Linked DNA regions of Stegostoma tigrinum. The protein of the gene in region 3 purifies or fractionates together with the protein of the main gene of each other region. This does not show direct contact. Links are inferred from orthologs where the notes say so. Each region holds a gene or a part of one and is shown on either strand. Other genes may lie near its edges.

The links.
Region 1: the proteins of zinc transporter ZIP4 (region 3) and agpat4 purify together in Homo sapiens (affinity purification with mass spectrometry; 3 studies listed by BioGRID and IntAct, with this or other methods). This does not show direct contact. The link is inferred for Stegostoma tigrinum from reciprocal best matches to the Homo sapiens genes SLC39A4 and AGPAT4.
Region 2: the proteins of zinc transporter ZIP4 (region 3) and abcb10 purify together in Homo sapiens (affinity purification with mass spectrometry; 3 studies listed by BioGRID and IntAct, counting the BioPlex papers as one, with this or other methods). This does not show direct contact. The link is inferred for Stegostoma tigrinum from reciprocal best matches to the Homo sapiens genes SLC39A4 and ABCB10.
Region 4: the proteins of zinc transporter ZIP4 (region 3) and vps45 purify together in Homo sapiens (affinity purification with mass spectrometry; 3 studies listed by BioGRID and IntAct, counting the BioPlex papers as one, with this or other methods). This does not show direct contact. The link is inferred for Stegostoma tigrinum from reciprocal best matches to the Homo sapiens genes SLC39A4 and VPS45.

What each region holds. Positions count from the first base shown.
Region 1 is NC_081362.1:24,999,515-25,007,315, forward strand, and holds the start of agpat4 (1-acyl-sn-glycerol-3-phosphate acyltransferase delta), read left to right. Parts: upstream 1-4,503; 5' UTR 4,504-4,617; intron 4,618-7,801. UniProt on the Homo sapiens protein: Converts 1-acyl-sn-glycerol-3-phosphate (lysophosphatidic acid or LPA) into 1,2-diacyl-sn-glycerol-3-phosphate (phosphatidic acid or PA) by incorporating an acyl moiety at the sn-2 position of the glycerol backbone.
Region 2 is NC_081362.1:803,875-811,475, forward strand, and holds the start of abcb10 (ATP-binding cassette sub-family B member 10, mitochondrial), read right to left. Parts: upstream 3,500-7,601; 5' UTR 3,357-3,499; coding exon 3,068-3,356; intron 2,487-3,067; coding exon 2,283-2,486; intron 1-2,282.
Region 3 is NC_081355.1:158,138,517-158,146,863, reverse strand, and holds the start of zinc transporter ZIP4, read left to right. Parts: upstream 1-5,170; 5' UTR 5,171-5,285; coding exon 5,286-5,504; intron 5,505-8,347. UniProt on the Homo sapiens protein: Selective transporter that mediates the uptake of Zn(2+). Plays an essential role for dietary zinc uptake from small intestine. The Zn(2+) uniporter activity is regulated by zinc availability.
Region 4 is NC_081400.1:976,435-984,929, reverse strand, and holds the start of vps45 (vacuolar protein sorting-associated protein 45), read left to right. Parts: upstream 1-5,105; 5' UTR 5,106-5,219; coding exon 5,220-5,312; intron 5,313-8,426; coding exon 8,427-8,495. UniProt on the Homo sapiens protein: May play a role in vesicle-mediated protein trafficking from the Golgi stack through the trans-Golgi network.

The DNA.
Region 1 (7,801 bases), on a different chromosome or scaffold from region 3:
TCCTTCTCTTGGCCAAAACCTCAATTTCTCTCATCACTGAACACTCCCTACATGTACCAGCTTTGTCCTTCACCCCAACAGGAGCACACAGTCTCTGGGCTCTCATTATCACATTTTTGAAGACTTCCCACTTCCCAGCCGTCCCTTTACCTGCAAATATACAAGACCCTCTCTCCACCGCTCCCCCCAGCAACACCCAATCAACTTTTAGAAGTTCTTGCCTAGTACTGTCAAAATTGGCCTTCCTCCAATTTAGAACTTTAACTTTTATATCTGGTCTATCCTTTTTCATCACTATTTTGAAACTAATGGAATTATGATCACTGACCCCAAAGTGCCCCCCCACTGACACCTCAGTCACCTGCCCTGCCTCATTTCCCAAAAGTAGGTCAGGTTTTGCTCCTTCTCCTTTAGGTACATCCACATACTGAATCAGAAGAGATTCTCGTACACACTAAACAAATTCCTCTCCGTCAAAACCCTTAACACTATGACAGTCTACGTCTGGAAAGTTAAAATCCCCTACCATAATCACCCTATTATTGTTGCAGATAACTAAGATCTCCTTACAAATTTGCTCTCAATTTCCTGCTGACTATTGGGGGGTCTATAGAACAATCTCAATAAGGTGATCATCCCCTTCTTGTGTCTCAGTTCCACCCAAATAACTTCCCTGGATGTACTCCCAGAAATATGCTCCTGTAGTACAGCTTATCAAAAACACAAGGTCTTTAACTGTCAATTCTTCTACATGCTGCTTCCTGGGCAAAGTCTATTAGCTACAGTGGCTCAGATTAAATAATGGATTGATTTGCGAGTGCATAAAATATTTTCACAAAATATTTTTAAAACACAGTGTTCACAGTATATGTGATACATTGATTTATAATATACAAACTTTAACAATTATATATTGAAAATTACTACATGTTTTATCACTCCTGTTTTTGTTGGCATCTTGTATCATGTTCAATTTTAAGTGTTAAAATGAAGTCATTTTAAAAAGTAGTTTTAGAAACTCTGGGATACAAGAATATGCCCATTAGAAAACCTTCCAGGCCTTCTTTTAAAATAAATCACAGATTAGCACTTGAAAACTGTCATTTTGAAGAGATGACAGAGGAACACCATCACAGTATGAACTTCAGATATATTCCAGGATACTACTTGAGTTCCATCATGCCACTCTTGGGCAGCCACCATCACTTCACCCCCTCAAATTCAACTTGTTTGTCCATTTAATGTTCAGCACACCCGGATCTTGGTGGAATTGAACTGAGCAAGTTCTTCCTCAGTAAATGCATCCTAACAACACTGTTATGACACTTGCTGTTCCTTGGCAGATGATTGAATTGAGACTGGATAATAGGCTGGATGTCCTTTTTTTGTGTTAACAGGACACGCCTTTGCAACTTCCTTTTTGCTGGATAGATTCCTGTGTGGTGACTATATTGCAATAGCTTAATGAGAGGTGTGGCTAGTTGTGGAAACATGTCCTCAACACAACAGCCAGGATTCCACATCCAGTTCACTTAGCCATTTCTTAAGGTCACATGGAGTGAATCAAATTGGCTGAAAATTACATCTGTGATAATGACAACTCATACCCTATCTTTGTTTTTTGTTCTGCACATCCTACTCATTTAAATGCATGAGACTTTTAAGTTCTTTTTCTTGACCTTTCACGTACATTAAGATAAAATGGCTGACTTCTACTTGGCCTGTATGGGAACTTCCACATTGCTATTTAGAGGGAAGGCAGCTTAAAGGGAACATTCGTCAGTAATTTCAGGATGGATCAGCTGGCTGGCACATCTGGTTGAAATTGTTTATCAAAACCTTCAGCCTTGCCTTTTGCAATCAGAAACTCAGCTCATTCCTTGTTGACCATGGGGATTTTCATAGAACCTTTCCCTTCCTATAGTTGTTTAATTGTTTAGCACTATTCACATGTGGCAGAACCACAGAGCTTTGATCTGACCTATTAATGTGAGATCATTCAGCTCTCTCTTTAGTATGGTATTTGGCAGTTCTTTAATGGTCAATGTGAAGAGCTGTTCCGACACTATATTACAAGTATAACTTGGGCTGCATGTGCTAAAGCAATTACATTAGTCAAAAACAGGGTGGATTACTTGCAGGTTGTGATGCTTCAACTGTTGAATATTGAAAGAGTTTGATCACATTGAAGACAATCCAGAATTACCAATCCCCAAAAACCTTCGGACTTTTCTGAATTGTCACTCAAATTTTTCTGGACCTCTCTGAACACTTCTGGCAAAGCAGTTTAATAACAAAGCAGGCAAATGGTGCACCCTCTGAGCTCACCCTTAAGTGCTGAACAAAGACCTATTGAATGACTGACAATAGACATCCCTCAAAATAGTGGTCTGCACTCAACAGGATGCATATTTTCCATGCAAGGATATCACATTGCCTCCTTCTGTTATGTTGTTTTAAGGACAACATAGCATACTACGATGGTCACCTGAATGAAATTATTTACGGCAGATTGTGAACAAATGTAGCCTGTGAAAATTTTTTGCAGGATTCAAGGCAATGCATTGAACAACCCACAAATCTGTGACTTTGCTGTCCCATTTAGAATTAAGACTGGTAAAACCCTAAGATGTAATACATAACAAGGGAAAGAATAGGAAGCCTAATGCATGCAGCTTCCATTGTTTAATGGGCATGAGTTCATGTGTTGTAGCTTCACCAAGTTGGCACATTATTTTTAGATATGCCTGACATTGTTCTTGAACCAGAGTTGGACTCTTGGCTTGATGGCAAAGTTAAAATGAAATAAATGCAACAGTGTACAATTTTGATGCGATTGAGGGTCCAAAGCATAGCAAGGAGATCCAGTTTTGAGCTGCCAGATCTGTTGTGGAATTACATCATTTAGCATGTATCCAAAATGAACGTATGCTCCCAGGAAAATAGGAATTTCTCTACCAATGTAAAGTGTTGTGGTCACTCCTACAAATACTGTTCTGAATAAATGTGTTAGTGACAAGTTAATCGCTGAGGGCAAGTTCATTTAGGTATTTCCTCTATGATTGTTCCCTCACTCTGAAAAAACCCAATCTTTAGATAACACAGTGTGGAACTGGAGGAACACAACAGGCCAGGCAGCATCAGAGGAGCAGGAAAGTTGATATTTCAGGTCGGGACCCTTCTTCAGAAATTTCTGACTCCAGCATTGGCAGTTCTTACTAACCCCCAATCTATAGATCTATCTTTGAGAACAGATCATGTTCAGATGCTACTGAGCAGTTCTTGATAATTGATTTTGAATTTTCCATCCCCACATGTTGGTTATCCTTGTGCTTCCACAGTGCTTCTTCCAATAGGTGTTCAACATGGAGTACAGCTTCATCAGCTGAGTTAGGATGGTTGGTGATAGTTAGCTAGAAGTTTACTTGTCGGTGATGCTATGAGGATTCATGGGATCCAGAATCAAGAATGAGGATTTATAGCATCACTACCTCCTGATTGTATAGGATTGTACCATCATCTCTGTGACAGGCCATTCTCAGATGATGGTAAGGTCTGGTATATTGGCTATCAGGTATGATTCTGTGGATAGTTCAGTGTCAAATTATTACTGGATTGATCTGTGGGACAGCTTTTTCAATTCGGCACATATCCGCTGATGTTAATGAAGAGGATATTGCTAGATGCAAGGACTAAGTAACTGTTTGTTGTATTGAGTTATTCAGCTGGGTTATCCTTTCAGTTTTATTCCAACTAGAGTATTTCATATTGAGTGACTGACTTGTACATTTAAAAGGGAAATTAAGAGTCAACCACTTTTCTGTGGGTTTGGATTTCCATATAGTTGGGACCAGCAGATTTCCTTCCCTAAAGGACATAAGTAAACTAAGTGGGGCATGAATACAACAATCCAGTGGTTTAATGTTTACTGTTATTCATTTTTTAATTAACTGAATTTAAATTCTCCAGCTGCCCAGATTTTGAATTTGAACTCTGGTTATTCATCGAGGAACACAACTGCTGAGCCATCTTACCAATGTTCAGAAATAAGGCTAAAACAAAAATGAAAATTATGTTTGGAACACAATATCTAACAGTTCTTGCACGGATGGATTGCCTGGTATTTTCTTTACTGCACCATCTGCACCAAGGCCAAGGTACAATGAGGCAGGTCAATAGAAAATAGGGTGGATTGGCCTTCTGCTGGATACTCACCCTCAACTTGGAAATATAACATAAAATATGCTAAACCCTATCCACCAACACCTTTCCCCATCCAGACCCAGCCCTACTGTTAGTCTGAGCTAAAGAGTCTTGAATGGACTTTAAATGGTGGAAGGGCTTGGAGTTAGAAAACTGACCAAATTCCCTGCTATCCATACGAAAGCTCCATCTCATTTCCACCTTCCAAAGTGCATAAAATGACAGTCTTTGAACTGATGATTGCATTAGTCGATTAAGTGATGCCGTTTCAGGAAGGAAGCTCTATTCTTCCTGCATTGACGCAAGAGCATTGACATTTCAGTGCCTGAAATAAAGTTGAAGGGTTTGTTTCAAATAATGAAATAAGTTTACTACCAGCCTAACTTGCAGAACAACTGGAACTGGACTGAATTGGTGAGCAAAGTTGATATTATATTTTGTGGGCTTCTCCTTTGAGGTTACTGAGAAGATTTTCTCCAAGATTTTGTTTTATTTTGTAGTTGCTTATTGATTGTGTGATTCAGTTTTGCCGCTTAGTACTTCCTCTGTGAAAGACAGAAGTTGAATTTCTGAAATGTATGCTGCAGAGAGAGAGGGATAAAGATGCAAGCAGTGTAGTACACAAGGAGCATGGAAAAGGTTTCAACCATTGTACTGGCAACTAAAGAGAGTAGTTTTTTAAAAATAATTTATTAATCTGGTCCATCTAGCAGAGTTATGCACCGGTTTGTTACCTCATGGGTCCATGTGACTAATATTATATCACCACAATCAGTATTTGGAACTCAACATTTGCTCTCTTTTCTCAGTGAAAAGGTTTCTATTTTAAATTAAGCTCTACCATTTTCCACAAAAAATGGCATAGTAGACTTAAATTCAACAAGGTTTCAAATACGGAATGGTAATACCTGAGTTTCTGTAGAAAGTTGATCACTTTTGATTCCCTCTAAGTCAGCTCTTTTATGACCATGTTCAGACATAGCAACAGCAGAGTTATTCCTATAAGTTGAAAATATGGGTCACAGGAAATGTCCCACACCTACCTTTCATTGCTTTGCCGAATACTGATTAGAAGAAATGTGAAGAAATGTTCATTTTTGCAAGTTATGTGAAAAGTACAACTGTATCTTATTGCAAGTTTGATGAGATCCTTTCATACCCAGAAGGAACACAGCAAGTTCTTTGTGTGAGAACTAATGATTGATTACAAGTTGCTGCAAGTCTGTAGTGGCAGTTGGATTCTTAAGTCTGTTTAAATATCTGAGCTGAGGGATTTGAGTGCAAAATATATGGTAGTAAAATAGTTTTAGAAAATTACGGATTCCAGCTCTTCAAGGACTACAGGATTTGCAGTAATATTTTTTAAATAACACGGGAGAATGAATAGAAGATTGATGCAATTTTTGTCAGGGTTCATTTTAATATAATTAAGATGGCATCTCTAGCATTTTTTTAATCCCAGATCCAGTGGTTGGTGTTCATTTATCAAAGATTTTCAATGTTATAATTCTTGGAGTAACACTAACATTCAAATGAGTTATCTTTTACTTACAATAGTTACAATACGAGCAGCATTCTACAGCTGAGGGGAGAGGTGAATGCTAAATCAGCTGGAAAGTTGATCCAGTTTCCTGTCGGTTCCAGTGTATTCTGGAATTTTCCTCCAGGGGATAGTGGGGATAGGGTTGATGCATTGCATAACATTAAATGAGAGGAATATATCACCTACTGGTGAAATTTTCAGCTCATCCACAATATCTAAAAAAGAATTCAATTGTCACGGAGTCATAGAGTCATGCAGCATGGAAACAAACCCTTTGGTCCAACTCATTCACGTTGACCAGATATCCTAAATTAATCTGATCCCATTTTGCAGCATTCGGCCCGTATTTCTCCAAACCCTGCCTATTCATGTCCCCATCCAGAAAACTTTTAAATGTTGTAATTGTACCAACTTTTGCCACTTCCTCTGGCAGCTTATTGCACACAGACACCACTGTCTGCATGAAAAGTTTCCCTTTATGTCAGTTTTATATCTTCCCTCTCTCATTTTAAACTTATCCTTCTCGTGTTGGACTCTGCTACCATGGGAAAAAGACTTTGGCTATTCACCACATCCATGTCCCCCATGACTTTATAAACTTCTATAAGGTTAGGCCTCAGCCTTTGACACTCCAGGGAAAATAGCCTCAGTCTTTTCAGCCCCTCCCGATAGCTCAAACACTCCATCCCCAGCAATATCCTTCTGAATTTTTTCTGCACCCTTTCAAGATTAACACCATTTTTTCCTATGGCAGGGAGACCAGAATTGAAGGCAGTGCTCCAAGAGTGGCCTGACTAATGTTCTGCACAGCCGCAACATGACATCCTAATTCCTATACTCAGTGCATTAACCAATAAAGGTAAATGTACCAAACGCCATCTTTGCTACCCTGTCTACCTTTGAAACCATCTTCAAGGAATTGTGCACCTGCACCCCAAAGGTCTCTTTGTCCGGAAACACTCCCCAGTTGAGCGTATTAACAACTCATTCAATAATACGCTACCCTGCCATAATATAGCTGGCTGAGGACAGGATTCTTGTCAGTCTGTCCACAAGTTGCCATCTTACCTTCCGGCGAGTGCGGGAGCAGCTCATTCCCCATTAAAGGTCTGCCCACAGTGTCAGTTTCTGCTTGAATGCTGATGACACCTGCTTTATCTTACATTGACTGCCATTTCTGATCCCTTTACTGTCTCTAAATTGTCAAGATGCTGAAAATGTCCAGTAGTAGACAAACAGAAATTTCCAGAAAAGAAAACGGATAAATGGGACCACTAAAGCAATAGTGTTCAGTTTTGCCGTAAACTTTGTTGCCTAGCATTGACCTCATCCTTCCCACTGTCCACTATGTGGTGATGAACTTGACAATTCTTAACCCTATTGTCATATTTGACTTGAGATCAGCTTCCAATCACAGCTTTCAAACCATCACTAAGCCTGTCTATTTCAACCTTTATGGCATCACCTTATAGATTCAAACCTTATCTCAGCACATAGCTGCTGAAACCGTCATCTCTACTTTTGTTATTTCTAGACTTGACTATTGCTATGCACACCAGACTAGCCTCCCACACTCTAATCTGTCAACATTCTCCAATGAATTTAAGATGAACCAAAATTCTGCTTCCCATGTCTTAACTCACACCAAGTACCACACGAACATGAGAAGTTAGGAAAAATGACCAGGAGTAGGCCATCTGGCCCCTTGAGTCTGTGTCACCATTCCAGAAGATCATGGCCAATCACTATCTTAATTTTGCCCTCCAGTTTCTCCCCTTTCCCTTTGATTCATTTAGTACCTAAAAGTCTACTCACCTCTGACTTGAATATATTCAATAAATGAACATACATAACTCCTTGGGTAGAGAATTCCATTGAATCATAACCACAATCATCTTATCACAGGATAAGAAATTTATCCTTAACTCAATCATAGTGGCTGACCCTTTTTCTGAGATTGCAACCCTCCACCCTAGATTTCTCAGTCTGTGGAAATTTTTTTCAAAATTTACCTTATCACACCTCTTAGGAATTTTATATATATATCTCTCCTTA
Region 2 (7,601 bases), on a different chromosome or scaffold from region 3:
GCTGTGTTCATCCAGCTCTATACCTCGTTATCTCAGATTCTCCAGCATCTGCAGCTCCTACTATCTCTGATGATAAATCAAGTTTTATTTTATTTTATTTATTCATTCACAAGATGTGGGCATCACTGGCTACGCCAGCATTTATTGCTCATTCCTAAATACCCAGACAGCAGTTGCTGTGGGTCTAGAGTCAATGTAGGCCTGACCAGGTAAGGATGGCGGTTTCCTTCCCTAAAGGGACACTAGTGAACCAGATGGGTTTTTCCTGACAATTCAGCAATGGTTTCATCGTCATTGTTAGACTCTTAATTCCATATTTTTATTGAATTCAAGTTCTTCCATCTGCCATAGCAGGAATCGAACCTGGGTCCCCAGAACATCACCAGATCTCCAGTTTAATAATCTAGTCATTATACTATTAGGCCATTTCCTCTCCAAGGTTCACTTCACCCTCTTCAGTGAGGTATAAACAATCCCATGTACTATCTGAAGAACAGGGAGACACTCCCAATGTACAATACCAGCAAAAAGAATAAGTCAGGAGTGTAAATGAATACTCTGCACATGCCAGGATGAATGCAGCTCAACAACACAACTCTATCTAGGACAAAGCAGCCTGCTTGACTATACCCTATCCACTGCCTTCCCCATTGAAGTACAGTTGCAGTAGTGTGCATCTTATCAACAAGATGCAGTAACTCACCCAGGCTCTTTTGACACACCTTCCAAAACCATGACCTCTACCACTTAAGAGGGTCAATAGCAATACACAAATGAAATATTAATACCTTCAACTTTCTCTCCAAACTGCACACCAAAACTATGTTACCAAAATCCTGGAACCGCTATCCTCGTAGCGCTGAGGATAAATGCACACTGTACAGATTGCAGTCGTTCAAGAAAGCAGCTCAACACTTCTCTCTGAACAATACATGTTGGTCTAGCCAGCAATACCCACATCCAGTGGGCAAATGAAAACACTCTGGAGTCAGAAGCAGAATACCAAAATTTGCAGATGACACCATGTTGCAGGGCAGAGTTAATATAACGGAGCACTGAGTAATAAAGACAAGTTTAATAATTCAGAACGGCTGTGTAAATGGGAAACAATTTTTCACTGCAAAAAGGGAGTGCTGTACTATGGTGGAATAATAAGCATGCTAAAAAGTGAGCAGAGAGATCAGGACATGGGTACACATTCACAAATCCTTCAGACCATAGTAGTTTTAAAAATGTGGTGAATTTGCTGGGGGGGGGAGAGTAAGTGACAAGTGAAGGAGGAGCAGGCAGCAGACAAAAGGATGGATATTGCTAAGTCAAAGAGAAAGACAACGCAGACCATAATATGGGAAAATTCTGACGTTCTGAAGAAAGGTCCTGAAACATGTACTCTGCCTCTTCTCCACAGGTGCTGCCAGACCAGCTGAGTTTCTCCAGCAATTTATTTTATTTTCATATTTCCAGCCTCCATTTTTTTTTGGTTTTATTAATAATAGAAGTGTGCATTAACAAAGCTCTAAGGAATAGAATTCAAAACCAGAGAGGTTTGTTAAAACTTACATTGAGTCAGTTAAACCGAACTTGGGGGATACGGTGTACGGTTTTGATCTCCAGATTACAAAAGGGACAGCGAAGCATGGGAGAAAGTGTAGAACAGATTTACAAGGAAACTTGACAGGTGGGTTTCAACTATCAAGAACGGCTAGGGCTCTGGTGTCTGGAAAAGTGTGGTTTTGTTGCGATCTTAAACTCTGAAAGGCTTGTCAGAGTTAAATTTGGAATAGGTAGTTTAACATTGAAATGGGTTATACATAGTCACAAGGCCAACAGGGAATTTAAGAAACTTTACCAAGAGATTGATAACAATTGCATGTTTTCCAAGAGTAGTTAGATGAATTACATGAATACCTTTGAATAAAAAAAACATAAAAGCATGAAAGATAACAAGGTTTAGAGCTGGATGAACACAGCAGCCCAAGCAGCATCAGATGAGCATGAAGGCTGACGTTTCGGGCCAAGACCCTTCTCTTGGGATGTTATCCCATTCTGATGCCACTTGGCATGCTGTGTTCATCCAGCTCTACACCTTGTTATCTCAGAGGTGAGATGGAGTTGGTTCTGACCATCAATTTGGCCCGATGGCCTCAGTGTCTTATATCGCTATTCTAAAATTCAGTTCTATTTTTGTGGAACCTTACGATACATGCACTGTATTTTCCTCCACAAGCATGCAAACACCAGAAGTCCCTTGCAGTCAAATTGTTGCACAGACATTTTCTTACCTGAAATCTGCATGAGGTAGACACGGACAGCATTGGCAGCAGCTCCACAAATGAAGACACCACTCAATATAGCACACAGTGAGGTCAGGCTCCCAGTTACATTCTCTCCAACAGGATTCATATAAATGGTATCAATAACTTTTCCCAAAAAGAAGGGAGCAGACATGGTCACCAGGCTGGACACACCCAAGAAGCCCACAGCAGCTAGGGAGAGAAAACAATACAAACTTGTAGATATCAGAGCAACTCAAGGGCAGGCTGACTGTACTGCAAAGATAAGGGGGTCGATTAATGGGCAATTTATTACACAGAACTGGCTGCTGATGCACAAATACAGCCAACTCCCTTGATTGAATACCACAACCGTGAAAACACATGCCCTTTTACAATCGAGTTTCCGCCTGCAGCTTTAGAAACTGACAATAATATTGAGGACACAAGAAATTGCTGCCCGGGAAATTGACATCCTCTCTTGGGAGCATTTCTTTTCGAAAAAGCATGATGGGCATGTAATTCTCTAGCATCATTTCATGGTATTGCCCAATCGGTTAATGCAGCTCAGCAGACAAGTGAGATTTCTGATGACGGGGCGTGTGTGTGTGTGTGAGAGAGAGAGAGAGAGAGAGTGAAGGTGAGCTAAACATAAATTGGGAAATGGTGCTGACGAGGCTCAGCGGCTGATCTGAGGAATATTCTGGACGCGGATGTCACCACCTCCGACCCCCAAAGAGGGGAAGCACTGACCCGGTTCCGCTCCATACCCTCTCCCGGATGGCAGCGCTTACCTGAGAGCGGCCACCGCTCCGGGTAGGCCAGGGTTAGCAGCCTCCTGGCATCCACCAGTGACGCTCCGGTGGTGGGCAGCCGGCTCCGCTCCGTCTCCCGCTCGGCGTCAAGCCGCTGCTTTGGGGGCTGCAGGCCCGAGGCCGGGGCCCTGTTACCATGGTAACCCCCGCCGGCCGCGAGCCCCGAGCTATATCGCGGGAGCCGGTTCCACTGCAAACTCTCGGCGGCTGCCTGCTGACAGCGTGGGGTTAAGCCGCGCCGGCTAAGTAACAGAATCCGGGAGGCCATTCGGTGCAGCCGAAACAGTGAAGGGAGAGTGGAAGAGAGTCAGGGCCTGACCCCTGGCATCACTCGGACCATCCCAAAGGTCCCGAGCGTTTCCTGGTGCTGCTATTTATTGTTGCAGACGCCGAGCTTGCACCGCCCCCGAGCTGCCGCCAGTGAAATGTTTCAAACATTTCCCAACACACCCACATCGGCGCAGTGACACCCTCCAAAAACTTAATCTCACAATCTGGCTCTCTCCGGTACTCTACTGTTTATTCTCTCTCTTACTCCACACTCCGGGTATTTCCCTATTTTCTAATTAACGTTGCCTACTTAGCTATTTATAAATAGTATTTTTACACGCATTGGCCATTGCTCCTGCAACTTTACTAAATTACATAAACATTTGAAACTTTTAAAACGGTGTAATTTTACTGATGATTCGTCACTTAAACTGTATTGACATATATATAACTGCTGAAATATATACATATGTATAATATATATATATCAACAGTTGTTGCATTTGTCTTCCAATTGATGTTGGCCCTTTTGCATTTCGCCTGCTATATAAATATGGAGTTGTGAACAAGGAGCGAAAGCAGAAATTGCTGGAAATGTTCTGCAGGTCGAGCAGCATCTATAGAGAAATCAGAGTTGGCGACTGAGGTAGGGCCACTCGACCCGAAACATTAACTTGCATTTCAGAAACTTTCATTTCTGAAGAAGGGCCTAGGCATCTGCAGTTCCTACCATCTCTGAAACATTAACTCTTGCTTTCTCTCCACAGATGGTCCCAGGAATTCTAAGCTTTTCCAGTAATTTTTCAGATTTCCAGCATCCACAGTTCTTTTGGTTTTTATTTAGCACCGAGAATAAGCTGTTCTCATGTTATGATTAGGGATAAAGAAATCAAAAATCTAAAAGTTTGGACAGTGTCTGCCCTGTGCATTATTTCCTAGCTATACTTCAGTACGAGGATTTTTAATTCCCGGTCTTGCCATTTTCATTTTAAGCTTAATCCGCTTGAAGGAACAATATTATAAACTTTTTACTTTAGTACTCACCATTTCTGCGACTCCACAGTTCTCAGATTTTAACACCTCCGCCCAATATAATTGGCCCTGGGCGTTATGATACCAAAATTTCTGCTTTTTGCTGAAATGAAATAACTGATTTAGCAAAGAGCAAGGAACTACGTTCTTCCACGCCCTGGTACAAACAGTGGCTCAGTGGTTAGCACTGCTGCCTCAGTCTCAGGAACCCCAATGCTGCATGGGCTTCCTCCACGTGCTCCATTTTTCTCCCACAGTCCGAAGGTGTGTAAATTACGTGGATTGACCTTGGGAAATGCACGGTTACAGGGATGGGATGATCTCACATCTCCTCGACTCAATGGGCTAAATGGCCTACTTCCGCACTGTAGTTACTGTATGAGTACCATAACCTGCAGGAGGCTATGCACAAAATGCTGGAAAGTAGACGAAATGGGATGGCTCGTTACACAGCAGATGCAGATACGACGCACAGTGGCCTCTTCCTGTGCCGTTAAATACCATTTTATCAAGTTGCAACTCAAGTATTTCTAATAGCCTTGAAACTTTTCCCCCACTATACATATGCCCAGCCTTCAATGGTATAATCTCGCATGTGGTGAGCAAAATCCACAACCCGTCTGTATTGTTGAACCAAAACAAAACCTGAAAGAGCTGTGGCAGATGTAAACCAGGAACAAAAACAAAGTTGCTGGAAAAGCTCAGCGGATGTGGCAGCATCTGCAAAGGAAAAAAGTTAACGTTGAGTCAGACCATAAACATGAACGCTTTCCTTTTCTCCTTCATAGATGCTATCAGCCCTGCTGAGCTTTTCCAGCAACTTTGTTTCTGTATTGTTGTACTGCCTTGCTGCATTACAACTTACATATTCACTTGCTTCCTTAACGTCAACTTCTTTGCCACTGGCTCAATTTTCCTCCCAAGACATTTGTACAGACTAGTAACATTATAGTTGCATTTGCATGACCGAAGAGAATTCCATTTCGTAGCAGCAGCACTGCTAACATGCAACTTTTCAATACCTCAGGCCACTGTCAGAAAACCCTCATTTCTGCGAAAGGCTGATTTTGTCCATGGCTCAGTTCGTTGAATAAAAACAATTTATTGAGCAAACTGTGTGGCCAATTACTACTGGCTTTGCCTCAACATCTCATACAAAACTTTTTTAGGTCCTCTTCAGCTCGAGTATTCTCCCTTCCTGCATCTCACTTGATTTGTCTTCAGTCACCCTGGCCAAAAGGCCAGAATCCAATTCTGTATTACATGTATTAAGCTAAGTATTTTCAGCAAAAGCTATTTATTCTGCATATCAATGCTACAGATTAAATTGTTTATTGACATTAGAATTTTATTTTCATGTAATTTAGATCTATCCTCGTTAATGGGCATGATTCACTGAAGGTATATTTTTAGAATTATAGAATTCTGACATTGTGGAAGCAGGCCATTTGGCCCATGTCCATACCTACCCTCCAAGGAGCATCTCACCTAGACCCATTCCCTACCCTATCACCATAACCCTGCAATATCCATGATTACACATCTACACATCGCTGGACACTATGGGCAATTTAGCATGGCCAGACACCTCCCCATTTTGATAGTTTTTTTTTAAAAAACATCAGCAAGATGACAAAGCAGATCAAAACACAAAGCTATAATAAACTATGAAACCATATTATGTAGGAGCTAACTGAATGAGGTTTGATATACAGGCAACACAACTGTTTTATTCTGCACAAATATTTCATAGCAAGTCTTCCTTAGTTTTCGTGCCCATCCTAACAAGCTAATGTGTATCATTTACACAACTTATGAATTATTGGAACTCTGGAAACCTGTGTTGTCACACTTCAATATTAAGCAACAAAAACATTGCTACAAATGAGTTAAAATGTCTTTCCAATCGCCACTTAAACACAATGTACAGCGAGGCAAATAATTAGCAAATGAACAAAAAACAAAGCTGCTGGAAAATCTCAGCAGGTCTGGCAGCATCTGTGAAGGGAAAAACAGAGTTAACATTTCCAGTCCAGTGACCCATCTTCAGAACGGAAGATGAGTCACCAGACCGGAAACATTAATGGTTTTTCCTTCACAGATGCTGCCAGACCTGCTGAGATTTTCCAACAGCTTTTTAATTAGCAAATGAGGCTCAACATAAAAGAGCAGCATAGTGGCTCTCTGGTTAGCACTGCTGTCTCAGTGCCAGGGACCCAAGTTCAATTCCAGCCTTTGATGACTATGTGTGGAGTTTGTATATGTTCCTGGTATAGCATGGGTTTCCACCAGGTTCTCCTGTTTGCTCCCACAGTTGCAAAGACGCGCTGGCTAGGATTAGCCGTGGTAAATGCAGGTTACAGGGACTGGGTAGTATGCTCTTCAGAGGGTCAGTGCAGACTCAATGGCCTCTTTCCAACTCCGCAGGGATTCTGCAATCAGTAGTTGCGTGGTGGTATACTTTGGTTGGAATAAGGAAACAGCTTAGAACTTAAAAGATGCATGGATAGAGAAACTACGGGATATCATGAGTACAGATATACCAAATCACTCAAAATTGCATCATGGGTTCACAGGGCTACAAAAACCCAAACTGAGCAGCAGGCTTTATTTCTACAGAGAGGCTTGAATAACTTACTCTAAACCTGTACTGCACTTTCATTGAAAAAGCAGCTCTGGCCATCATATTAGATAAAAATAATATACAGTAGACACAATGAAAAGTGTGTACAGAAGATTTAGGATGATACCAGAAATACATGGGTAGATATTTCTCGGGAATGGACTGACAGCGTCCGTAAGAAAAAACCCACTAAGTGGTGGTCAAACAAAAATCTTCAAAAGAACGTTTTCTCTCAATAGGGGGACCATTACATAGAGCTATCAACATGACACAATCACCAAGAATTGCAATAGTAAATTCAGAGAAAATGTCTCGTGAAGTCAGAATATTGACTTCACTATCCACTAGGAGTGGCCAAAACAAGCAAATGCACCACTAATTCAGAGACCAAGGTTAAATTCTGGGTGGTGAGTTAAAATCCCACCAAGGGAGATGAAATGTGAATTCAACTAATAGATTTTGAAGTTAAAAGCCTGGTCTACATGTGATTCCAGATCTACAGAAATGTTTGACTCTTAACAGCCCTCTGAAATGGCCACCTGGTTAAAAAGCAATCAGGGATCGGCAACAAAAGGTAATTTTGGTCAA
Region 3 (8,347 bases):
GTTATCTTGGATTCTCCAGCATCTGCAGTTCCCATTATCACTGATAGAATAATCGCATGTTTTTCAGGCAGCCAGGAACACCAAACTTATTGCAGCATTTTGCATCTGAGTTGTGCAAAAACAGGCCAAGGCCAAGTTCTGAAACCTGGCTTATATGAATTTTATTGTCACGTGTGTTTTCCAGTGGGGAAAAAAAGTGAAAAACCTTTCCCACTGTTGCAGAAATCCATTGCCATTTTGAATAGTTTAAAAATGAGAATAAAAAAGATCTAGCTTAAAGAGAGTCCATCAGTCCCGAGTCTGCTCATCATCAATGACACCTTCTCTGCCATCCCTCCTCTTTGTTGCTGGCAGTGCCAAACCCAAACAACGAAGAAGTCGTTGATCTTCGGGCACCAAATTTCACTGCTGGGCCTACCTCACTGACATTCCCTCCAACAATATAGCACCATTTGATTCCGATGCCAGGTCCCGCGCTCGTCCCAGAAAAGCAAGTAGAGACTACTCGCTAAGTCACGAGTCCCGCAGTGGGCCCACTTGCGTCCATGCTGGGATTCCTCGCTGCCTCTGGTGCCATCCAAGCTCAGGACAAGAGGTAAGTAAAGGAAAGGAAAAGAGGAACAAACAAGAAAGGAGAGAAAAAGAAAATAGGTCGGAGTGGATGAGCCCTGGCTCAGGAGCCCTACTCCACCACCATCTTGATGATGTCACATGAGCAAATGGTCTCTGCATAAGGATAAAAGTATAGCATTGGGCCATTGGCTGGGGGAAATAAGACAATAAGATGTAAAAGCAGACATAGGCCTATCAGTCCATCAAGACTGCTATACCATTCAATCAGATGATGGCTGTCCAGCTAATCTTCAACCCATTTTCCTGCTATTGCCCATAACTTTGATTTCCTTAAAGATGAAAAATCTATTTCAGCCTCGAATATACTTAATAACCCAGCCTCAACAGCCCTCCACAGTAGAGAACAGATTTACCATCCCCTGAGAAGATAAATTCCTTCTTATCTCTGTTTTAAATGTGTGACACTTACTCTGAGTTTATAGCCTGTGGTCCCAGACTGTCTCATGAGGGGAAATAACCTTTCCTGGTCAAGCCTCAACAATCTTATATATTTCAGTAAGGTCACCTCTCATTCTTCTATATAAATACAGGTCCGACCTACTCAACCTCTCTTCACAAGACAGCCTCTCCATTCCTGGTATCAGCCTTGTGAATCTTTTCTGAACTGCATCCAACAGCAGTATATCATTCTTTAAACAAGGAGCTCAAACTTTTGTATCTTCTATAATTTTAGCAAACACCCCTCCGTTTATGAGGTAACAAGGTGTAGAGCTGGATGAACACAGCAGGCCAAGCAGCATCGTAGGAGCAGGAAGGCTGACATTTCGGGCCTAGACCCCTCAAAATTTTTCGGATGAAGGGTCTAGGCCTGAAACATCAACCTTCCAGCTCCTATGATGCTGCTTGGCCTGCTGTGTTCATCCAGCTCTACACCTTGTTATCCCAGATTCTCCAGCATCTGTAGTTCCTATTACCCCTACTTTTTACATTCTATTTTCTATGAAATAAAAGCCAACATTCCATTTGCCTTCCCTAATACCTGCTGAACTTGGATGCTAGCTTTTTATGATTTATGGATGAAGACTCCCAAATCGTTATGTTTTGTAGATTTCTGCAGTTTTTATTACCATTTAAATAATATTCAGCTCCTCTACTCTTGTCAAAGTGCTTCATATTTACCCACAATATATTCCATCTGCTAACATTTTGCCTTCTTGCTCAGCACCACCTTCTCAAGAGCAACGAAGTATAGATAATAAATTCTGGCCAGACGGTCATGCCTATTTCATGACTGAATTAAAAAAAAAACTTGCTTAACCTGTCTTTATTCTCATTTAAGCTTAGCACAGTTGTTTCCAACTCAGGTTTCTATCTCTCAAGCTGGTTACTAAGTTCCACTATGTTAAACAACAAATAATTAATGTTCATCAACCAGGTTTTTTGTGATTTTTGTGTGAATGTTGTTTGTAGATGACAGCAGGCTATATGTTGTCACTCAGTGTGGTAGCATAGGATAGTCATAGAATTGCTGGGCAATGAGAAACAATTGTTATGGGAAGTAAGCAAGAGAAATTGGAAATTACTGTGCCTACTGATAATTTTATTCAACCTGTCTGCGTGCCTTACAACACATCTTGGGAATCGGTGTGCCTCGAACCTGGCTCGGAGGTAGGGACACTACTAGTGACCACAAGAGCACCCTTGCTGTGTCTATATTCAGGTGCAGAACACCCGTTGTCTCTCACACTCTCAGAATATCTGTAGCATGTTTGAAACCATTAAGTTTCTTGAATGTCCATGTACTAATGTTGGTTTCATCATCTTAATGAAAAAAATGAGTGCTGCTGAGCTGAGCTGTGCTTGATACGCTCTGCTTAGTTTTTATTTTTGGTTCTTTATATGCTCAAACAAGTTGTTAGGAAGGAGGATGTGCTAGAAATTTTGAAAAACATGAGGATAGATAAGTCTCCTGGGCCAGACGGGATATACCCAAGGTTATAACAGGGAGGGAGGGAAGAGATGGCTGTCCCTTTGGCAATGATCTTTGCATCCTCCCTGTCCACTGGAGTAGTGTGCCAGAAGATTGGAGGGTGGTAAATGTCACTCCCTTGTTCAAGAAATGGAATCAGGATAATCCTGGAAATTACAGACCTGTCAGTCTGTCTTGTGTGATGGGCAAATTATTGGAGAGGATTCTGAGACTTAGTATTTCTGATTATTTGGGGGAAAAAAAACAGTTTGATTAGAAATAGTCAGCATGGCTTTGTGAGGGGCAGGTCATGCCTCACAAGCCTTGTTGAATTCTTTGAGGATTTGACAAAACACATTGAAGGTAGAGCAGTGGATGTGGTGTATATGGATTTTAGCAAGACATTCGATAAAGTTCCACATGGTAGGCTCATTCAGAAAGTAAGGAGGCATGGGATTCAGGGAAATTTGGCTGTCTGGATACAAAACTGGCTGTTCAAAGGGTGGTAATAGATAGAAATTACTCAGCCTGGAGCTTGGTGACCAGTGGTGTTCTGATCTTTATAAATGACTTGGATGGGGAAATGGAAGGGTGGGTTACTAAGTTTGCTGATGACACGAAGGTTGGTGGAGTTGTGGACAGTGCGGGGGGCTGTTGTAGGTTGCTGTGGCACATTGACAGGATGCAGAGCTGGGCAAAGAAGTGACAGATGAAACTCAACCTGGAAAAATATGAAGTGATTCATTTTGGAAGGTCAAATTTGAATGCAGAATACAGGGTTAATGGCAGGATTCTTGGCAGTGTGGAGGAACAACGTTCTTGGGGTGCACGTCCATAGATCCCTCAAAGTTGCTACCCAAGTTGATAGGGTAAAGAAGGCGTATGATATGTTGGCTTTCATTGGTAGGGGAATTGAGTTTAAAAGCCGTGAGGTTATGCTGCAACTCTATAAGATTAAACCTTGGAATATTGTGTTCAGTTCCGGTCACCTCATTACAGGAAGGATGTGGAAGCTTTAGAGAGGGTGCAGAGGGGATTTACCAGGATGCTGCCTGGACTGGAGGGCAGGTCTTATGAGGAAAGGATGAGGGAGCTAGGGCTTTTTTCATTGGAGCAAAGAAGGATGAGAAGTGACTTGATAGAGGTTTACAAGGTGATGAGAGGCACAGATAGTGTGGATAGTCAGAGGCTTTTTCCTAGGGCAGAAATGACTGTCACGAGGGGGCATAACTTTAAGGTGATTGGAGGGAAGGCATAGGGGAGATGCCAGAGGTAGGTTCTTCACACAGAGTGTTGGGCATGTGGAAAATGCTGTCGGCAGTGGTATTAGAGTCTGATCGTTTAGAGACTTCTAACTGTCTCTTGGATAGGTACACAGAGGATAGTAAAATGTCCGATATGCTGGGTAGATTGATCTTAATAGGATTATAGGTTGGCACAACATCGTGTTCTATGTTCTTTTGTTCCCTTCACAAACAGTCCTTAAAGCAACTGTTAGAAACTGCCAAACATAGTTAATTGTGGAGTGAGGGAGAATGCAATTTCTCCAACATCTGTAGCACTATAGTTCCTGTTCACTCATGTTCATTGAGACTCCAGTTCTCCATTTCCCTCTCCTTTATTCTCAGAATCTGCCAGAAGATTCCTTCCAGTGTGTTAGCTGACCCAAACTATGTGCATGGTATATCTGCATCGGGGGGCCTGGCAGGCTTTCACAGTGGTTCAATTCCAAATGAGCCTTGGGCCTCTGGCATATTCTGAGGGTTATCCGGCCAGAGGATGCACCGAAATCAACTTCCATTCCAATTCCTTCAGATAAGGAATGGAAAAATTTGAATGCAAAGGGGTAAAGAGATGTTTCGTTTTCTTCCAACAATGTATGTTACTGTCATTGTAGAAATTCACATATTGTTTTTTAAATATAAATAAAAATGAGCAAGCTTATACTCACCTAAAAGGTTAAGCCATCTTTCCTTTTTAGAAGGGGCCAATATATTTATCTGTATTTCTGGTACTTTATGTTTTTAAAATTAAAAAATACCAAAAATGATTTTTTTAAAAAAGCCGCCATGGACATAAGCTGAGAAGCTGGCGGTATAGAAATTGGAACAAATCTAAAAACTAAAGTAAAATAATTTGGTGAAAGGTTAAATTTAATAAGCAACGATGAAGCCAAGAAAAATAATTAAATCTGGGAAGAAGGGAGTGGAAGGTTGTTTTTCAATGTCAGGATAAAGTATTGATTTTCACCTTTCTAAAGTCACAGTAACATTTTGTTTACTTTCAATAACTTATTAAAGGGAAGCCAGGTGACTTGGAGAGTACATAGGTGCAGGAAGTAGAGCAAAGTTTTACTCAGAATGGGTATGCACATATTATAAAATCTGTTAAAGGAATTTTTTCTTGAAATAATTATTAATAGAATTGAAATGTCCAAGGTAAAGTGAATATGTTTGCTTTGATCGTCCAAATAGTTGGTATCATTATTAACGTAAGATCTGCAGTTCTGGGAGTTTCCTTCTAATGTAATGGCTGACATCATTAACATCTTCCAGCCAATCAAGAGTCAAGGAGGTGGGTATTGGAGAGGGTGAACATTTGCCACAAGGTTAGCTATAAAACTCATCAACTTTAAATTGCAGCCATTTGAATATCTTTGTATAGAAGTATTCAAGGCTTTCCTGAATAAGCTGTTGTGTGAAGGAACTGAAAGTTCATCTCCCTTTTAATTGTTCACTGCATCATGTTTAGGCTGTTTCTGCTGCTCTCTGTGATTTTGGCTGCTCTAAAGCAGGCAGCTTCGCAGGGAAATGGATCTCTTTTCATCTCTAAACAAGAAGTCTTCAGGAGAGTGGTGGATCTCCTAGTCCCAGGAGAAGACATTTTGAGCGAGATGGCTGTCACCACTTTAATACATATCTTAGGGAACCGTGTGCAGTGTTCTGAGGTGTCGTGTGAAGAGGTAATTGCAAGGCTTTCTGATTATTACATTTAGGGAACAAACTCCACTGCAGACTGTTGGTGCCATCTGAAGGTGATTTTAAGCAGTAACTCATTTTGCTGGATCATTTTATATTGCAACATATTATAGGCACCAGTAGGATAATCAAACTGTGTGGTATTTTATAAAAATGAGTTAAGATAATGCAACTTTAAATTTCTGTCTTTAAGTTTATATATATATATATATATGTAAATGCAATGGAATATCGTCTCTGTTAGAAAAGTTTATTTCTTCAAATTTGTGCATGTTCTATTGCCACTATTCAAAATGATCTTAGTTAATCAGCAAGTTGCCACCTTTTGTTAAGTTTATTTTTAAAAATAAAGGCAATGTATTATGTTTATCCATAACTGGAGGATATTTTTCACAGATCAGATGTAGACTAACATTTGAGAAATAACAGCATTGCACAAGAGGACATTTTAAAAAAATAACATGACAAAGAATTATGATTATTGCATTTTACTGAGAAAGAAATTTTGGTAACTTAATTTGAACAATGCAGTGGAAACAAATCCACTCATACCACAAAAATGCACTACTCACCACGTATCAACTAGAAAGATGACTGGGGGTCAACAGAAAATCAAGAAATATTATGGCAGGGAGAACTTCTGTAGGCTAAAGAAAGGCAAGGAACTATCACACAGCTCTGGGAGATCTGAGTAAAGGAAAAGAACAAACATGTAAAGCCACCTAGGAGCAGTGAACGATCAAGAAAAGAGTGATAATAGTCTGAGTTGTAATGTAGAAAATACAACAGCCAAATTATACAGAGCAATTTCCCTCAAACAACAATATTTAAATAAGCGTCTAAACTGTTTCCAGCGATATTCCTTGAGGGAAAATATTGGCCATGACACCACGGAAAGGTCCCCTTCTTGGCTTCGAAATAGTGCTATCAGTTCTCTGACATCCAGCTCTCAATAGAGAGATGGGGTTTCTGTTTTGATATTGCATCTCCAAAAGTGCAGCACTCTCTCAGTATTACGCTAGAGCTCAGGCTTGATTTTTGTGCTTAAACCTTGAATCCGAAATTTTGTGATTCAGAAGCAAATGTGCTATCTGAGCCATGATCGACAGTGAAATATCCTCAAGGGTATTCAAAAATTTAATTTATTTTTCAGATATAGTTCAAAGTTAGAATATACTTTGTTTGCAATAAGTCAGGATGATCAGCCAAAATCATGGAAGCCTTCAGAAATCTGTCAAGAACATAACTGGGTGTTTAAACAGCAATTAAAAATACTGAAAACAAACCACACGAACAATCTGTTTGTGATTATTTCCACGGCTAAAGTTACTGGTTGCCTAGCATGGGAGAAAGGAAGGGAAGGGAAACTAATATCCCTCAGTTTACCATAATTCAATAGCCCTATTAACAAAACTCGTTGAGTAAAGGTTAGAATGTATTAACATTCCACAGATGAAGCTAGTAACAGTGACTTCGTAATTACCCTTTACTCTCATGGGCAGTGAAAGACTTTTTTCTTTCTTAGATTAGCAACTGCTGTATTTATCAGATCCAATCTCCATTGTGACATTATTCTTTAGAGATTATAGAGTGTGAAAGGACCTCACAGGTTGTTTCCTATTCAATCTCGAAGTCTATGGTCAAATTATTGAAAATTATGGGGAAGTAGGGGTGAGGTGGATATTTGTTTATTTACCAATGATGGACCCTGTGTAATTTGGGGGTGAACTCGGGCCTGGATGGGAACATGGTGGGCAAGGTACCTGACCGATATTATGTGCCCCACCTGGGTGTGTTGTAATATCCAGCCTAAGTAAGAAGGCTTTTATGCTGCTCTGGCCCATCTTGTTTCTAAATATTGCTGGTATTTTATGCACGAACAGACTTGTCTAGGTCTAACCTGCCCTAACCTGTCAATTCCCTTCCTTATTTTGAAATGCAAAGGAAACAAATCAAACTACAAATGGTTATTTCCTCATAACTGAAATTGTTGGTATTTGTAATTATCCTTTCTTGCGTCCTTTCATGTCAAACTAATTTGTTTAACCATGAGTTGTGTTTATATGGCACCTTTAAGCATAATGACATGTCACCATTGACCAGAACCTTAACTGAACTAGCCATGTCATAACCAGGTCGGACTGGAAACTTCTGACTTTATCTTATTTATTCTCTTTTGGGAGGTGGACATCACCAAAACTTGTCCGATATTTCACAGGACAATATTTTCATTTATTCACAGGACAATATTTTCAGTTATTCATAGGACATGGGCATCACTGGATAACCCAGCATTTATTACCCATATATAATTGCCCAGCAGGCAGTTAAGAGTTAACTACATTTCTATGGGACAGAAGTCACATGTAGGCTAGACCACATAGGTTGGCTCATTTCCGTCCCTGAAGGACAATAGTGAAGCAGTTATGATAATCAACAGTGGTTACGTAACACAGACTCTTATATGGGCCTGAACAACAATGGGCTATGGCGAAAAAAAACACGAGTTTTCTTTAAATTTTTGAATTGAGTTGTCTTCTAGCGCGCTGTATAATGAGAAACTTGGGAGAATTCAATACGAAGTCAGGCAAGGCCTTTTCTCAACATCAGGAGCAACTTGTTGCATTGACAAACAGCATTTCGGGGTGGACGTAGGGGGAGAATCGAGACAAGATTTTTTTTAAGAGAGCATGAATTGCCTATTAATGGTGATTATTTCTTGTCAGTTTCATTCACTGCAAATCTTGCCTCATTAATGCGCAGATTTCTATTCTACCACCTGTTGCTTACACCTCTGGACTTGGGCACCCAGCATCACCATTTCAGT
Region 4 (8,495 bases), on a different chromosome or scaffold from region 3:
AATCCTGGAATGGGGCTTGGACCCACAACTGAATGATTCAGAAATTATCGCAATTGAGCCAGACCCAATAACAATTAAAGTATTGATGCAGGTTGTCAAATCTATCAACAAAACAAAAATAACCAGGGTTCAACCAGGGAGGGAAAGAACCGAAAGACAGAGAGTTTATATATTGAATCATGGTTAGATAGCCCTAGGAGTACTCCACACAGTTCGATTCTCCACACTATATAACTGGTACAGAGACAATGGTGAAAGTACAAAACAAAATTACAAGGACTTGGCCAAAAAGGGAGAATAGATCTATGACGAAATATTAACAGACTGAAGTTCTTTGCCTCAGAAAGAAGGCTGTGTGTTTAAACCTGATGGAAGCCTTCAAATTCATGAGAGGGTTTGACAAGATAGATGGAGAAGATGTGTCCACTTGTAGGGACGTCCAAATTTAGAGGTTATGCTAAAATGTTACAGAGACAGTTTATATTTAACATTGTATTGAAGTGTTATTGAAACAAAAAAAATCATGTTTTATGGAGATACTGGGAATTTTTTTGAGGGGGTCACTGAAAGTCATGTGGAAATGTAGATATTTTTTCACCAAGGTTTCCTGAGGATCAAATGACTGGTGCTAACTACTTGCTTTGCGGTAGATCTTGTGTTGAACACTGACTGCCTTGGAAAGGTTCTTGTTTTATCTGGATAAGTTGCAGGGAAGCCTGCAAAGAGCAAGCTGAATTGGTGTCAAACTTGCTCAGAAGAGGCTGCCCAGTTGATCTCTCCGAAAGATGAGATGACATAGGAGCAGCAGTCGGCCATTCAGCTCATCATGTCTGCTCTGCCATTCAATGAGATTGTGGCTGATCTGATCATCCTCAACTCCACTTTCCTGCCATTTGTTTAAAAATCTATCTCAACCTTGAAAATACTTAACAACCCAACGTTGACAGCATTCTGTGATAAAGAATTACACAAATTTAATAAGAAGAAATTTCTCTTCATCTCTATTTTAAACGCATGATCCCATTTTCTGAGATTATGCTGCATTGTTATGGACTCTCCCACAGCGGGGAAACAACCTCTCTGCATTTAACCTGCCATGTCCCCTAAGAATCCTTGAGATAGCAGGAACTGCGGAAGAGTCCCAACCAGAAACATCAACTTTCCTGCTCCTCTGATGCTGCCTGGCCTGCTGTGTTCCTCCAGCCCCACACTGTGTTCCCTAAGAGTCTTTCATGTTTTAATAAGGTTGCCTCTCATTCTTCTAAAGTCCTACTAAATGTCACCTCATAAGTCAGTGCCTCCATACCTGGGATCTGCCTCATTAACTTTTTCTGTACTAATTTATATTTCCTCAGTTACGGTGCCAAAACTGTTCACTGTGGTTTAACCAGTTCCTTGTATAATTTTTGCAAAAACTTCTCGAGACCTCTCCACATTTATACTCAACTCCCTTTGAAATAAAGGTTAACATTCCATTTACCTTCCTTCTTATATGCAGAACTTGTAAGGCAGCTCTTTGAGATTTATGCATGACATTGCCTAATTCTCTCTGTGCTGTAGTTTACTGCAGTCCTTTTAAACTTAAATAATATTCAGTTCCTCTATTCTTCTTGCCAAAATGCATTCTCGATTCTGAAAAGAAAACAATGTACAGTATTTCAGGGGGAAGCCTGTTTGTTCGAAGATTTTCAAAGATTGATTGAGGGAACATCTCAAGGTTGTGTTTGCTGAACAAGCTGTGTCTGAAAGACTTCAGAGGCACCTGTGTATGATTAGTGACTTGACCACATGTGCCAGAACATCACAGCAACAGATTTCAGATCATCCTACACTCTATCATTTGACTCACTGAGTCATAGGATATTACAGCATGGAAAGGGGCCCTCTGTGCCCATGCTGATCATCTATTCCAATCCCATTTTCCAGGCCTTTATGCTGTGTCATATCAAGTGCTCATCTAAATACTTAAACGTCTTGAGGGTACTTGTCTCTACCACACTCTTAGGCAGTGAGTTCCGGACACCCGCCACTTTCTGATCAAGGTGTACAAAGTTATGAGGGGAATACAGAAGGTAGACAGAGAGAAAATTTTCCCCTTTGAAAGGGAGTCAATAGCCAGGGGACACAGTTTTAAGGTAACCACACTCTGGATGAAAATAATTCTCCTCAAATTCCGTCCAAACCTCTAAAACGAAATCTTAAAAGTTTGTCCGCTGGTTATTGACCCTTAAGGTCAATATAAGGGGAAAAAATTTTCCAGGTCTACCTTGTGTATATCCCTCATAATTTTATACACCTCAATCAGATACCCTTCAGTCTTCTCTGCTCTAAGGAAAACAATTCCACCCTACCGTGTCTCTCATCAGAGTTGAATTACTCCAGCCCTGACAACATAAATAATCTATTGGTCAAAGTAGTTCCTTTTCTTCCAGAAGGATAATTTCTGCAAAAATGTTTTTTGTTCTCTCTTTTCCTGAACAGCGTTTGTGTATGTTTGACTTCATTCCATTCTCCTGGTATCTCTGTCCCTGTCGTATATGTTCCGCTGAGGCCACCTTCGACAAGGAGCCTCCAAAATGTCCACCTTCTTCCTCAACCAAGGATTCTCCAGCACCATTGTTGACACAGCTCTCAACTGGGTCTGACCCATCTCCCCGACTTTCCGCTCGTAACAATGATGGGGTTCTCCTTATCCTTCCCTACCACCCTACCAGCATCCACATCCAGAAGATCATCAGTCACCATTTAAGCCAGCTCCAGTGAGACACCATCACCAGACACATATTCCCCTTCTCTCCCTTGTCTGCCTTCCACAGGGACCATTCCTTTCAAGACACCCTGTTTCACTCTTCCTTGACTCCCAAGAACTCCCCACAGCGCTATGGCACCATCCCCTTCAATCGCTAAAGGTGTGACACCTGTCCATTTACCTCCTCCCTGCCCAATACCCAGGGCCCAAACACACCTTTAGGTGAAGCAGCACTTTACCTGCACTTGTCACAATCTAGTTTACTGTATTTGCTGCTCACAATGTGGCCCCCTCTACCTTGGGGAAATGAACATAGACTGAGTGACCACTTTGCAGAACATTTATGTTCTGCCTGCAGAAATGACCCTCAGATTCCAGTTGCCTGCCAGTTTAACACACCACCCTGTCCCCTGGCCAATGTTCTGACTCAGGCTTGCTGCAGTTCTCCAGTGAAGTGAAGCTCAAGCTGGAAGAACAGCATGTCATTTTCCGCTTGGGAATCCTGCAGGCCTCTGGACTCAATACTGAGTTCAATAATTTTAGGGCCCAAACTCTCTCATGTCCTAGTCCCCAACCCCACACACCAGGCCTTGTTATCATATAGTCTGCCATTACACACTGCCTATTGTTAGCCACTAACAGTTATTCATTCTCCTGGCTAGATCGTTATCTGTTCCTTCGTCTAGCCAACTGGTCTTCTCTCTCTTTGGGCTCAATCTCTAGCTATTGCTTACACCTTATCCCCTCCCTCCACCTTATCTTCTGCATGTAAATCAATATTTTCCTAGCTACCCTCAGTTCTGAGGAAGGGTCACTGAACTTGAAATGTTGACTCTGATTTCACAGATGCTGCCAAACCTGCTGAGCTGCTCCAGCAACTTCTGTTTCTGTTTCTGACTTACAGCATCTGCAGTTCTTTTGCTTTTTATTTAGTGTTTGTGTATATTTTGGAGATACTTAAAGGGATAAACTTTTCTTCTTAACTTATTTATTTATTAAACTTTGTTTTGGTGATAAACCCATAGTTGGGCATATTAAAAATGTACTTGGTAAATCCTGCTGTTTAAAATCCAATAAAGTATTTAATTGGTGAAAGAAAAACAGCGGTTGCTGCAGAAACTCAGCATGTCTAGCAGCATCTGTGGAGGGACAGAGTTAAATGTTTTAATTCAAATATGACTGTTTTTCAGAATAGCGAGGGCTAGAACACTGAAGATACCAGATGATAACTCTTTTTATTTGATTTGACTGATGTATTGTTGTCACATGTAGTGAGATATAGTGAAATGTGTTGTTTTGTGTGCCCTACTGGCAGATCATGCCATACAAAGTGCATCAGGTAGCATAACAGAGTGCAGAAAACAGTGCTTCAGCTGCAGATAAGTTGCAGAGAGATTGATCCACATTAACATTTGACAGGTCCATTCAAAAGTCAGATAACAGTGGGGAAGAAGCTGTTCTTGAATCTGTTTGTAAGTGTATTCAAACGTTTAAAACTTCTGCCAGACAGAAGAGGGCGCAAGAGAGTATAACTGAGGTAGGTGGAGTCTTTGACGATGTTGATTGTTTTCCCCAGGGAACAAGAGTATAGATGGAGTCAATTGATGGAAGTGTGGTTTGTGTGACGGACTGCGTTGTGTCTATGACTGCCTAGAGTTTCTTGTGATCTTGGGTCAGCAGTTGCCATACCACCCACGATGTGCCCTGATAGGATGCTTTGCATAGTCTGTTTCTGTCTCCTAGATGCTTCCAGATCTGCTGAGTTTCTCCAGAAAATTCTGTTTTTATTTCAGATTTTCAGCATCCACAGAATTTTACTTTGATTTGACCGGTGGTAACTGGAAAGAGGATATTTATTTCATGTGGCCCATCAAGTAATGGGACAAGAGTGACAGCGCACTCGTCTCCAAGCTTGGTCGCAGCGATGTTACAATTAAAGAGGAAATTAAACGAAAGAGGTTTTCATCTAGACGACAGTGAAGCAGTATGGAAGGGGGGGGGTGAACACATCAGGGAGAATGGAACAGGTGTTGCTGATGGGCTAGGAGGAGGTTTCAGTGCAACACAAAATTCGCAAACACTGGATGGGCTGAATAGCCTTTTGCTGTGCTGCAAATTCAATGCAAACTACGACCTGGCCATATTTCCGGGGTCTGGTTTTGAGTGAGAAAAAATGTTTGCATTCTTGTTGTTCTTTATTGGGACATTCACTTTACTGTATCCTCTGAAACACAAACCCCAAAACATAGCCGACTGCCTGAACGACGAATGAGCAACGTCAACCAATAAACCCACCTTGCGCCTGCAACGTTGATCAAACATAATCGGAAGTCGGCGTCGGCCAGTGGGGCACGCCGGGAGTTGTAGTTCGGGTGGAGTGAGGAGCGGTCAGAGCCGACACACCAGCGCAAACATCGAGCTGTAGTCAGCGCGGAGTTCGGCAACTGTGTCCTGGAAGTCCGCTGCAGCCATGAATGTGGTCCTGGCAGTAAAGCAGTATATTTCCAAGATGATCGAGGAGAGCGGGCCTGGCATGAAGGTGCTGCTGATGGACAAGGAGACGGTGAGGACCGGGGAAGGCCTTTCCATGGGAGAGGAAGGATGGACGATCATTCTGTCCATCTAACCCTGTACTGTACCCGGGGAGAGTGACCGTCAGTCACTGTCCATTTAACGCTGTACTGTACCTGGGGAGAGTGACCGTCACTCACTGTCCGTTTAACCCCGTACTGTACATGGGGAGAGTGACCGTCACTCACTGTCCGTCAAACCCCGTACTGTACCCGGGGAGAGTGACCGTCAGTCACTGTCCGTCTAACCCCGTACTGTACCCGGGGAGAGTGACAGTCAGTAACTGTCCGTTTAACCCTGTACTGTACATGGGGAGAGTGACCGTCAGTCACTGTCCGTCTAACCCCGTACTGTACCCGGGGAGAGTGACTGTCAGCCACTGTCCGTCTAACCCTGTACTGTACCCGGGGAGAGTGACAGTCAGTAACTGTCTGTCAAACCCTGTACTGTACATGGGGAGAGTGACCATCAGTCACTGTCCGTCTAACCCCGTACTGTACCCGGGGAGAGTGACCGTCACTCACTGTCCGTCTAACCCTGTACTGTACTTGGGGAGAGTGACCGTCACTCACTGTCTGTTTAACCCCGTACTGTACCCGGGGAGAGTGACCGTCAGTCACTGTCCGTCTAACCCTGTGCTGTACCCGGGGAGAATGACCGTCAGTCACTGTCCGTCTAACCCTGTACTGTACCCGGGCAGAATATCCGTCAGTCACTGTCCGTCTAACCCTGTACTGCACCCGGGGAGAGTGACCGTCACTCACTGTCCGTCAAACCCCGTACTGTACATAGGGAGAGTGACCATCAGTCACTGTCCGTCTAACCCCGTACTGTACCCGGGGAGAGTGACCGTCAGCCACTGTCCGTCTAACCCTGTACTGTACCCGGGGAGAGTGACAGTCAGTCACTGTCCGTCAAACCCTGTACTGTACATGGGGAGAGTGACCATCAGTCACTGTCCGTCTAACCCCGTACTGTACCCGGGGAGAGTGACCGTCAGTCACTGTCCGTCTAACCCTGTACTGTACCCGGGGAGAGTGACCGTCAGTCACTGTCCGTCTAAACCCGGACTGTACCTTGGGAAAGTGACCGTCACTCACTGAGCGTCTAACCCTGTACTGTACCCGGGGAGAGTGACTGTCAGTCACTGTCCGTCTAACCCCGTACTGTACTTGGGGAGAGTGACCGTCACTCACTGTCCGTCTAACCCTGTACTGTACTTGGGGAGAGTGACCGTCACTCACTGTCCGTCTAACCCTGTATTGTACCCGGGGAGAGTGACCGTCACTCACTGTCCATCTAACCCCGTACTGTACCTGGGGAGACTGACCATCACTCACTGTCCATTTAACCCCGTACTGTACCTGGGGAGGGTGACCGTCACTCACTGTACATCTAACTCCATTCTGGTAGAGACAGATAAAAAACCTGCAGATGCTGGAATCCAAGGTGGACCATCAGGAGGCTGGAAGAACACAGCAAGCCAGTGCACATCTGGTGGGAAGGAGAAGTGAACATTTCAGGTCTTACCCTTCTTCAGGATTGGATGTGGGCTTTGGGGGAGCTGCTGATAAAGACAGCAGGCAGAATGTTGGTAACAGGCGGGCACTGGTGGTAGGTACAAATTGGTTGGTCAATGGGAGAGATGATTCTGGTTGATGGCTGGAACGGAAGGTCACAAGGTGGAATGGAAGGGAGGCGGTGGGGCTGGAAAGGGAGTCGGGCAATGGAGTGGAAGTTTATTTGAAATTAGAGAATTCAACATTGAGTCCTCTGGGCTGTAGGGTGCGACACTGGAGGAGTTTGAGGACGGACATGTTGGGACGGATGGGAGTTAACATGGGTGGTTACTGGGAGGTTAGGCTGTCCGTTTTGGACCAGGCAAAGATGCTCATTGAAATGATTACCGAGTGTATGTTTGGTCTCACCGATGTAGAGAAGACCACATCGGGAGCACTGGGCACAATAGACTAGGTTGGAGGAGCAGGTGAAGCTCCGTCTCACTTTGAAGGGCTGTTTAGCGCTCTGGATGGAGGTGAGGGAGGTGGTGTGTGGGCAGGTGTTGCATCTTGTACTGTTACAGGGGAAGGTTGGAGTGGTTGGTGCGCTTGGTACCTTCCCCTGTAACTGTAAAAGATGCAACACCTGCCCACACACCACCTCCCTCACCTTCATCCAGAGCCCTGAACAGCCCTTCCAGATGGCACCACCTGCATCTCCTCCAACCTAGTCTATTGTGTCCAGTGCTCCCGATGTGGTCTTCTCCTAATCGATGAGACCAAACATACACTCGGCAATCGTTTCACCGAGCATTTTTGCCTGGTCCAAAATGGACAGCCTAGCCTCCCAGTAACCACCCTTGTTAACTCCCATCCCTCCCAACATGTCCGTCCTCAACCTCCTCCAGTGTCACAGTGACTCAGAACACAGATTTGAAGATCAACACCTTACCTTCCGCCTGGGCACCCTACAGTTCTCCAGTTTCAAATAGTCTTCCCACCCATCCCCCATCTCCCTTGCCAGTGCCACCTCTTCCCTTCCATCCCACCTTCAGACTTTCCCTTCTAGCCACCAGATTCATCCCTCCCATTGATCAACCAGGTCATGCTTACTACTAGTGTTCATCTATCACCACCATTCCACTACACCCCGTCCTCCCACTCTCTTTATCTGCAGCTCCCCCAACTCCCACATCCAGTCCTAAACAAAGGTAATACCCGAAACATAGACTTCTCCTTTCCTCGATGCTTGCTGGCTTGATGTGTTCTTCCAGCCTCCTGTTTGTCTCATTCCATCGCGTGCCTGGGGAGAGTCCATAAAGGACTTTACTCTGTATCTGACCCTGTGCAGTACCTGTCCTGGGAATGTTTTATGGGCCTAGACTCGACAGAGCTTTGCTTTGAGTTCAAAAGAATAGATGGAGCTTTACTGTGTATCTAACCGCATGCTTTACCTGTCCTGGGACGATGGGGATAGATAAAGTGAACTTTATTTTCAGTTTGGAAAAGTAGAGAGGTTTCCTCTGTGTCTAAGCCTGTGCTGACAGGATGTTGAATTTCACTGTGAAGTTGAATGACCTGTGTGAAATATGTACTTGCTTTTACAGACCAGCATCATTAGCATGGTATATACACAGTCAGAGATCCTACAGAAGGAAGTTTACCTTTTTGAGCGT